3 linked regions of the Tribolium castaneum genome follow. The protein of the gene in region 1 interacts with the protein of each later gene in a pairwise test. Links are inferred from orthologs where the notes say so. Each region holds a gene or a part of one and is shown in the gene's direction. Other genes may lie near its edges. The genes, in order: Uev1A, awd and eEF2.

What was found.
Region 2: the proteins of Uev1A (region 1) and awd interact in a two-hybrid assay, tested with the Caenorhabditis elegans proteins (2 studies listed by BioGRID). The link is inferred for Tribolium castaneum from reciprocal best matches to the Caenorhabditis elegans genes uev-1 and ndk-1.
Region 3: the proteins of Uev1A (region 1) and eEF2 interact in a two-hybrid assay, tested with the Caenorhabditis elegans proteins (2 studies listed by BioGRID). The link is inferred for Tribolium castaneum from reciprocal best matches to the Caenorhabditis elegans genes uev-1 and eef-2.

Annotation. Positions count from the first base shown.
Region 1 is NC_087394.1:10,169,401-10,172,586, forward strand, and holds Uev1A (ubiquitin-conjugating enzyme E2 variant 2), read left to right. Parts: upstream 1-1,341; 5' UTR 1,342-1,445; intron 1,446-1,451; exon of another isoform or gene 1,452-1,522; 5' UTR 1,523-1,611; coding exon 1,612-1,636; intron 1,637-1,701; coding exon 1,702-1,970; intron 1,971-2,020; coding exon 2,021-2,161; 3' UTR 2,162-2,677; downstream 2,678-3,186. UniProt on the Caenorhabditis elegans protein: Involved in protein ubiquitination, but has no ubiquitin ligase activity on its own. The uev-1-ubc-13 heterodimer catalyzes the synthesis of non-canonical poly-ubiquitin chains that are linked through Lys-63.
Region 2 is NC_087394.1:6,440,434-6,442,956, forward strand, and holds awd (nucleoside diphosphate kinase), read left to right. Parts: upstream 1-1,177; 5' UTR 1,178-1,303; coding exon 1,304-1,477; intron 1,478-1,519; coding exon 1,520-1,855; 3' UTR 1,856-1,899; downstream 1,900-2,523.
Region 3 is NC_087396.1:14,895,524-14,899,719, reverse strand, and holds the start of eEF2 (translation elongation factor 2), read left to right. Parts: upstream 1-1,315; 5' UTR 1,316-1,468; coding exon 1,469-1,471; intron 1,472-1,805; coding exon 1,806-2,020; intron 2,021-2,067; coding exon 2,068-2,261; intron 2,262-2,513; coding exon 2,514-2,722; intron 2,723-2,988; coding exon 2,989-3,248; intron 3,249-3,418; coding exon 3,419-4,062; intron 4,063-4,196. Other genes in the region: lysosomal proton-coupled steroid conjugate and bile acid symporter SLC46A3, read left to right, coding at 1-272, 319-559, 613-694. UniProt on the Caenorhabditis elegans protein: Catalyzes the GTP-dependent ribosomal translocation step during translation elongation.

The DNA of each region.
Region 1 (3,186 bases):
TAAAATCTGGATTCTGCTTTAGATTCATGATTAACATGTCTAGATTTTCTATATAATTATTTTCTAGGCTCATTTTCTTATAAACACTTCTACATATTTGCAAAATTCTCTTTTGGATTCCACTGTGCGTTTTTAAAATATTCTTCTACGAGTACAATTTTGTTTAGAATTATTACAGATTACTCTTTAACATTATTTTGTTTCTGTACTCTTTTCTTTTTTTTTTCTAAAATCGTATGTAGATCCAAAACTTTATTAAATAAATTCTTCTGTTGATTTTTTTAATATCCTTGTTAAATTCTTTATTAACACTGTTCCTAGATTAGGTATGGTATAAATTCATCTTCAGATTTTTTTATAAATTATTTTAAAAACATTTCATCTACATTTATTTTAATCTTTTCATATTTTCTTTTAGATCTTACTCTGCTCTCTTTCAAGATTTTATCATGAATATTTTTTGTATTGTTTCTGCACTAAACTTTTATTTTATGCTTTGTTTTTAACCTTTAGCAATACCTATAAACTATAAAGACTCAAACGTCGTATTTTATTAAATTATTTTTTTTAATAAGAATGATAAAAATGTAAAATAGTTATTAATGATCTCTCATTGAAACTATAAATTGCATTAGCTATGTATTGCATAAATTATAAATATAAATAAATAATATTTATAAATAAATAAATTATAAATATAATTATAGAAACTATAAATTACATTAGCTAGAAGTGCATGAATAATTTTTAACACCTAATTTTGAGAGAAAATGCAACGTTAGCATTTTTTATAGTTTTGAAAGAGATAATATCTAATCATTAATACCTATTTTACAATTTTATCAATCTTATTTAACAAAATAATTCGATAAAATGTTGGCGTTTTATAATTTTGAAACTATAGTTTTAATAACAATATTTTTCAACATTATTGTTGGTTTTTTGGCCCTAAATTTGTCGTTAGGACTCAGTTTAACACATACTTTTGTTTTTTTTATACAGAAACTCTTAATTTGTGCTTTATTTCACTCCAAAAATGCAAGTGCTTTGTGCCCATTTTCTCTTAAGAACCCTACAAAATAAGACATAAAAACAAAGTTTGTTAATTCTTGTGCGATAATATTTTTTCAAAATTCTTTACACAATCACCAGGCTTTCGAACAATTCCAAACGGGTTCAAAAATTAAAAAAATTGCCAAAAATTCACCAGAGGTTGACGACATTGCATGATACTGATTTGGAATTGAACTTTGCCCACTCTTATTTAATTCAAGCTAAATTTTAGAACCGAATTTACTTTATTTCAATAATTAAATAATTTACTTAACAGTGCGGAAAATTTTGGATTTCGTGGTGGCCACATTATAGCCAACATTGCGGCTTCTGGTGGAAGCACTGTAAACTAGAAATTCCCCAGAATTGACAGGGTGTAGAAAAATTGAAAGGTGCTGTTTTAGGGAAACGCTAAAAAAATCCGTTTTATTTATAGATGGTCGCGAATTTACATAATATTCCATTATAGGTTCATCGACACGGATTTTCCCAAGTGCTTAAATCCGTAAATCGGGCGATTACACCTTCAGTGATATTTCATCGCGGTGCATAAAAATCATGGCGGCCCCATCAACCGGTGTGGGTAAGTTAATAATTAATCCGTGTGTTTTATCATCAAATTGGGTAAATTTTGCGTGTTTTTGGCAGTGGTGCCCCGAAATTTCCGGCTTCTGGAGGAGCTAGAAGCGGGCCAGAAGGGCGTATCGGACGGCACCATCAGCTGGGGCTTGGAAAACGACGATGACATGACTCTGACTCACTGGATGGGGATGATCATTGGCCCCCCTAGGACCCCGTATGAGAATAGGATGTATTCAGTGAAGATTGAGTGCGGGCAGAGGTACCCCGATGATGCGCCTTCGGCAAAGTTCATTTCTAGGATCAACATGAATTGTATTAATAGCAGCACGGGGGTGGTAAGTGGAGCCGGGTGGGTGCGTAAGTTGGGGCTAATTTTGTCGCCTAGGTGGACAATAGGCAAGTTCCAGTCCTAGCGCGGTGGCAGCGGGACTACACGATTAAGACAGTTTTACAAGAATTGCGTCGGTTAATGACACTCAAAGAAAACATGAAACTTACACAGCCTCCAGAGGGCAGTTGTTTCTAGCCCTTGCGCCCTCCCAACACGTCCCCGTTGCCCTCTGCAGCCAACTGCCCTCTGAGTGTTGATACCTGCACAACTCAGTCTTGTTGTCTTTTGTGAATAAGTATCAATCATTAAGTTAGTTACCCAAATGACATGAAAGGGACAAGATGCAGAGGGGCTAAGTTATGTGTACAGCTTCATGGCTACACCGCTAAATTAATTTTAGGTCATAAAAGTTAGATTCGCCATAAGTTCATACTGTCCAGCATTTATAGAACTGTACTGCTGATGTAATTACTCTGTTCATAATAAAGTTTTATAATAGGATGTGTTGCCGTTATTTGTGCAGGTTTTAATTGTTATTCTAATCGTAATTAATTTGTGATTATAATCAAATAAATTTGTAACTCAGATTTTTTATTTTACATGTCTACTCATTGTTGTGGGTTTGACTGGCTCAAACAACTTCAACACATCGCGCACTTGTCTACATTTCATGTTAACTCATCAACGTCATAATAAAACAAACTAATTTTAGACGCTTCTTTTTATTCCAATTAAAAAAAAACTGAATGAAAAGTGAAAATTTGTCACTTTAAATGCGTTTTTCTCGTTAAAATTTACTGCAAAAATAAAAAAACATCAGAATTCGCTTCAGAGCACTTATTTAATCATCAAAACCCGGAGAGGTTCCGGTAACAGACATTTTTTTATTTTGCACTAAAAAAATAACTTGAAAATTGGGTCAGAACGATTTGAATAGGCGAAGTCTCCGGTTGAAATAGTTTTTTATAAAACCGAACCCTCTAGAGCTTTTAAAGTGCAAATTTTCAATTAATTCTTGAAAACTATTTATGGTGGAGTATTTTAATCAGTTATCAGCGCTTGATTTTACCACATTTGAAACGTTTTTACGATATAAAATTGATTGGGAATTTTTACGGTAATATAATTTATTGTTTAAATTATTAATTAATTAAAAATATTAATAAAAGTTTATGAATTGTAGTGTCGTCCTAAAACGAACGTAAAAAATTGTTGTAACA
Region 2 (2,523 bases), about 3.7 Mb from region 1:
AATTAATCACGCATTTAATTGCGGCTTAAATTAATGATCAAATTAAACAAATTTTATTGGACCATAAACTTTTGACAGCGCAGTTAACATTATTTGAGCTTTCTATAAATCGGTCATAAATATTAAATTAATTTAATAAACTTAGGGCCGGTTTCTACCATGAGATCGAAAATGTACTGAATTATAGCAAGCTTTGAAAAAGAAGTGTAATTTTAGTCACATTTTTTATTAAAAAATTGTGTTATAAAAGACAGTGGAGGAGACCCAAGAAATGTCCAGAAATACTGTTCCTATGTTAGCAAATAACTGTTTAAAAAATTCTTAAAGAGATTTCATCCAATTTTTTTTTCATTTGTTAAAATAGCCTTTTACATTGTAAGCTTTTAATTGGATGGTAAACCCTATGTCAGAAGCAAGGAATTAGTTTTTGAAAAATCCTGATCTGTCAGTTTTTGACATGTGGCTAAAATTCTGCACGGCCTGCTCTAATTCAGTTTATTTTCGATCTCACGTTAGAAAGCTCTGTTATAATTTAATTCGTTGTTAAAAGTTAACAACGCAAATGGACCAACCAAATTAGTTCAGTTAATTTGGTCACGTGATCATCTAATTGCGAATTAAATTAATAAATGAATTAACTATTTTTCAAGTAAAAGCTGGAACTTTGGAAACTTTAAAAATTGTTAATGTAGTTTTTTGCATTTTACTCTCATATCATAAAAATTTGGGATAACGTTAAAGCATTAAATTGAGGTGTGTTAAAAACTCGTCAAAAATATCGTTTGCGATATAATTTTTTTGGACAGGCTTTTTTTAAACTGGCATTAAAACTTGAAACATCCTGTATTGTAGCTTATTTCTGAAACATTCAAAAAACAAAAAAAAAAACTTGTCTTTGGCCAAATTGTGTCAACAAGTTTAATTTACAATTTAAATAATTCCCAGTAAATCACTCAAATTTGGGAAAGTTGTGACTCAATCCCTATAATTTACTCAAATGCTGAAAATAAACACCAGCCTTGTCCTTGAATCTAAATTTATCGCATAATTAAGCTTAATTAAGAGGTCAAGTACAAAGATCGATAACACACTCAATCGTATTATTTTGAATTAGGCGCTGACTTCTAGGGACATGTGGCTCTTCGCAGGAAATGCCCGTCTTCTAACTTTGTCTCTTCCTCTTCCCTCCTCCTTGCTCTCATTTGGTTACAGTCGAACCGGTGTCTCAATCGTTCAATCCTCCGAAAATAGCCCCCGAATTAAATTCTCGCGCGTGGTTTTCGACGAATCGCCTTCCAGTTGTATGATCTGTACGATCTTGTCAATCTTTTCGTTATTTTCAAGAGCCATGGCGGAAGCACGTGAAAGAACCTTCATTATGGTCAAGCCTGACGGCGTCCAAAGAGGCCTTGTAGGGAAGATAATCAAGCGGTTTGAGTCGAAGGGCTTCAAGCTAGTGGCCCTCAAGTTCACCTGGGTGAGTATTTTTGCACACGTGTCAAGTCAATAACCCTCACAGCCTTCGGAGGAGCTCCTCAAGAAACACTACGCCGATTTGGCCACGAAGCCCTTCTTCCCCGGCCTGGTCAAGTACATGAGCAGCGGGCCGGTGGTGCCCATGGTGTGGGAGGGCCTGAACGTGGTGAAGACCGGGCGTGTGATGCTTGGTGCTACAAACCCTGCCGACAGTGCCCCAGGTACCATCAGAGGTGACCTTTGTATCCAGGTTGGGCGGAATATTATCCACGGGTCGGATTCGGTGGAATCGGCGAAGAAGGAGATCGGGTTGTGGTTCACGGAGAAGGAGGTGATCAATTGGAAGCCGGCGAATGAGGGGTGGGTGTATGAGGATTGAACTTGTTACACTTTATTTAAATGAATAAAAAATTTGGAAAATTATGGTTTGTTTTTTTTGGTTGTCTTGTGGTGACATTAGGCTACTTGATTCCGGTTCAAACTTGTTTTCTAGGAAAATTTTACGACAGATGGGTTAACAAAAATTATTGCAGTTGCACTGTAATTTTTTGAGTCAATTAAGCTGTTGTTCATTTATGTAAATCAATAATTTCATTATTAATCGATAAAAATTCAATAAAAGTAAAGTAGTCCATTGAACAAGTAGCATGTTAGTTTGGCACTCGCGCAGAGTCAAATTGCTGGTTGCCTACACTATTACATAAAAAATTCTTTTTTATGTTTAATACTTTTATTATTAACGAAAAACTAAGTGAAATAATAAGAATTAAAGAATAATTTTGTTTCCAAAAAATACGCTTTTTTCATAGTTTCAGGGCGCTTATGCAAAAATTAAAATCGACAGTATTTCGTCTAATAGTACCAAAAACTACAAGTGTAGGACAAAAATTAAGACAGATTTAGAATTTTTGGACAATTTTGCGTCACATGAACAAATTTGAAACCTAAATTTTTGGTTATTGTAACTTTGATGATTTATTTATTTACACATAAGATAATCTAAATTTTGGTTTAGTTGTTTTATTAGAATTATTTGCATAATTTTGA
Region 3 (4,196 bases), on another chromosome or scaffold:
CCTTGTTATGGTCATAATCGGACCCATGCATGGCGAAATGCAAGTCATGTATCTGTTTGTCCGACATAGGTTCAAATGGAACGAAATTGACTACAGCTTGTACTCAACCTTCCAATTTGTCATCCACGTCTGTGGAACTGTTTTCTCTTTAATGTTCTTCAGCAAATTCCTCAAAGTCGATGATGCCGTCCTTGGAATGATTTCAAGCACGAGTAAAATCGCCGCTTCCCTCGTATACGCTTTCGCACCCACAAGTACAATTTTTTATCTTGGTAAGTTCTCAAATGACCCTCTCCCACAACCAAACGATTATTGCAGGAGCGATAATCGAGGCTTTAAACGGTACTTCTTTCATCGCCATGAGATCAATTATATCAAAGTTAGTACCTCCGGAAGAATTGGGCAAAATTAACTCTTTGTTTGGAGTTTCTGAAGCTTTAATGCCCCTTGTTTATGGGCCCATGTATAATATAGTCTATGAAACCACAATTAAGGTCCTACCAGGCTCCTTCTTTCTACTTGGAGGGGCTTTAACTGCGCCTGCGATCGTAATATTCTAGTAAAGTTTCACGAAAATGGGGAAAGCTTAAGGTTGATACGAATTTGTTACAGTTGGTTATACCGAGAGCATCAGAAAGATCAACAAGAGGAGGCGAAGGAGAAGCCACAAAAAGCCAGTTTGTTACCTAAATGATAAGAATGTAAATAAATCTGTTTTGTTACAAAAACTGCTTTTTATATTTCACACTAATTGTTAAATAATAACATAGAGAAATTATGAAAACGCGTTGCCAAACGATTAAGGCCCGGTTTCCGGTACGATTAAACTTAAATTAGTTAATTAGTTAAATTTTATCTCTCTGTTAGTTGCTAAGGTACTGCGTATCTGATTGGCGTTGCTATGTTTTAACTGAGGTTTAAATTTAATCCCTCCGTTAAATATGTTTCCAAAAACAGGGCTTTCTGGTTTTTCAAGTTTTCAGTGCGTAAAGCAGAGAATGCTTAAAGTCTATTAAAAAATTGGAAACAATATTTCTTATGGCATATCTCCAAATGAAAGCTTTTTCTCTTCCAGCCACTGGTGATGTGGATTTCGCGGGCACCTTCCACAGGATATGGGACAACCACTTGGCTGAACTGGTCGAATGTGGAAAATGTGGCCGCAAATTTTTCCCTGATCGGATAGAAACTCACCGAAACGCCTGTGCCGGGCTCCGCATTCAAGTTAAAGGCAGAAAACGGGAAACATAACTGTATAAAGAAATAAAACCGTTTTTTTATCAACCCGCTTTTTACTTTTCACCAAGGCGACAAAAACTAGTGACTTTTTCCACGTTGGCAATACCGTGAAGATGCAGCTGCGTGGCAGTTCTTAGCCCACTTCACGTCAATCGTCCTTTCACGGGAGTGCGCCATTACTGGCGTATCGTATTTTTGTGTGTGTTAACAAAATCAAGAAACATCCAACATGGTAAGCCCTTTTTGTGGATTTTATTAACGTTAAACGATTGCCCCAGCCTCTCTCCACGCCGTGGATTATTTATTTCGGTGGCTTAGCGTTATTTTAGTGATTTTTAACGGATTTGTTCAGATTGCACAATAAGATGAAAGTACACTCTATCCGGTATTTATGTTTACTAATAAGTGTTTTTCGGCTTCGTTGCCCGCTTGTAATTAATAAAAACGAACCAAAGCTGGGATTATTTGATCATTTAACGGTGGAAATGTGGAGAAAAGGGGACGTCAAGTGTCAACACATGTTGGATCTTAACCGGACATCTGTTAATGTTATGTGGCCCCCTTAGGTGAACTTCACTGTTGACGAGATCCGTGCTGTGATGGACAAGAAGCGGAATATCCGTAACATGTCCGTCATTGCTCACGTGGACCACGGCAAATCAACTCTGACCGACTCCCTTGTGTCCAAAGCTGGTATCATTGCCGGGGCCAAGGCGGGAGAAACGAGGTTTACTGACACGAGAAAGGATGAACAAGATAGGTGCATCACCATCAAGTCTACGTAAGTGCCCCAACCCTCGTTGCCAGATGGCTGATTCCTTATTTTAGTGCCATCTCCATGTACTTCGAACTTGAAGACAGGGATCTCGTCTTTATTACCAACCCTGAACAGCGTGAGAAGGAAGAAAAAGGTTTCTTGATCAATCTGATTGACTCTCCCGGACACGTCGACTTCTCATCAGAAGTCACAGCCGCTCTTCGCGTCACTGATGGCGCCCTTGTCGTCGTTGATTGCGTTTCTGGTAAGTTTTTGTAAGAAGTGTCGCTTCCAGCACAACAAGAGCCACTTCATAGAGCATTGGCTGCTTGCAACCAACGCTCAACGACGATGTTGGCAGTGCAATGGAAGGAGATTAATTTCAACATGTGTTTAAACGCTGCCACAGGACCTCTATCTTTATGTCCGGTTGTGGCACGCTACGGCATGAGTTGTACATTTTATTTATGAGAAATTGGAAATTCTCGGTTTTTAATTGGGAAACGTGGCGTTTTAGGTGTATGTGTACAAACCGAAACCGTACTTAGGCAGGCTATTGCCGAACGTATCAAGCCTATTTTATTCATGAACAAGATGGACAGAGCTTTGTTGGAGCTGCAGTTGGACTCAGAGGAACTCTACCAAACTTTCCAGCGTATTGTTGAAAACGTGAACGTCATTATCGCCACTTACGCTGATGATAATGGCCCAATGGGTAACATTCATGTAAGTTTTTAGTAATTTAACGATTAGAAGTTAGTTGAAAAAAAAAATGAAATTATGCAATGGTTGTTTTTCTGAATTAAACGCATATCGCGAGTTAATTCGGGAGGTCTAATTAATTTTTAATTGACTAGAACCATGAAGAAACTCGCAGATAAGGTCCACTATTTGCCCTGCTTTAGATTAAAAATATTTAAAGCAGTTTCCTGATGTGGAACATTGAAATTAATTTTTTGTGTCATTTTTTTTATGAAATTTCTTTTTTATAGGTCGATCCTAGCAAAGGTTCCGTTGGTTTCGGTTCAGGTCTCCACGGATGGGCTTTTACCCTCAAACAGTTCGCTGAAATGTACTCTGAAAAATTCAAGATTGACGTTGTGAAACTAATGAACAGATTGTGGGGTGAGAACTTCTTCAACCCCAAAACCAAGAAGTGGGCCAAACAGAAGGAAGCCGACAACAAACGCTCCTTCTGTATGTACATCTTGGACCCCATCTACAAAATCTTTGACAGCATCATGAACTACAGGTGAATAATCTTATTAATTGATTTAATTTACTGGACATGAAGGATGATTGTTCTCACAGACCTGTTCTGATCTGGTTGACGACAAAAGAACGGCCAACTGACCTTAATTAATCTTTAAAAAGTTTTGTGTAATTTTGAATTGTGGCCAATGTTGTTTATTCATGTTACAGGAAAGAAGAATACGAAGCTCTGTTCCCCAAACTTGGTATCCAGTTGAAACACGAAGACAAGGACAAAGACGGCAAGCCTCTCCTCAAGGTTGTGATGCGCACCTGGTTGCCCGCTGGCGAGGCTCTCCTCCAGATGATTGCCATCCATCTCCCATCACCCGTAACTGCCCAGAAGTACAGAATGGAAATGTTGTATGAAGGTCCCCATGACGATGAAGCCGCCATCGGTATCAAGAATTGCGATCCCAATGCTCCTCTTATGATGTACGTCTCGAAAATGGTACCCACCTCTGATAAGGGACGTTTCTATGCTTTCGGTCGCGTCTTCTCCGGTAAAGTCGCCACAGGAATGAAGGCACGTATCATGGGACCCAACTACACTCCCGGCAAGAAGGAAGATTTATACGAGAAAGCCATTCAGCGTACTATTCTCATGATGGGACGTAACGTCGAGGCCATTGAAGACGTGCCATCAGGAAACATCTGCGGTTTGGTCGGTGTTGATCAATTCTTGGTCAAAACTGGCACCATCACGACCTTCAAGGATGCCCACAACTTGAGAGTTATGAAGTTCAGCGTATCGCCGGTCGTACGTGTCGCTGTCGAACCCAAAAATCCAGCTGATTTGCCCAAATTGGTCGAAGGTATGTTTTATTTTTTAATAGTTACAAATATCAAAGCAAGGTTCCTTCAATGATGATTGTTCTCACAGACCTGTTCTGATCACTTTGACGACAAAAGAACGGCCAACTGACTACTAACACACAACCAATTTGTT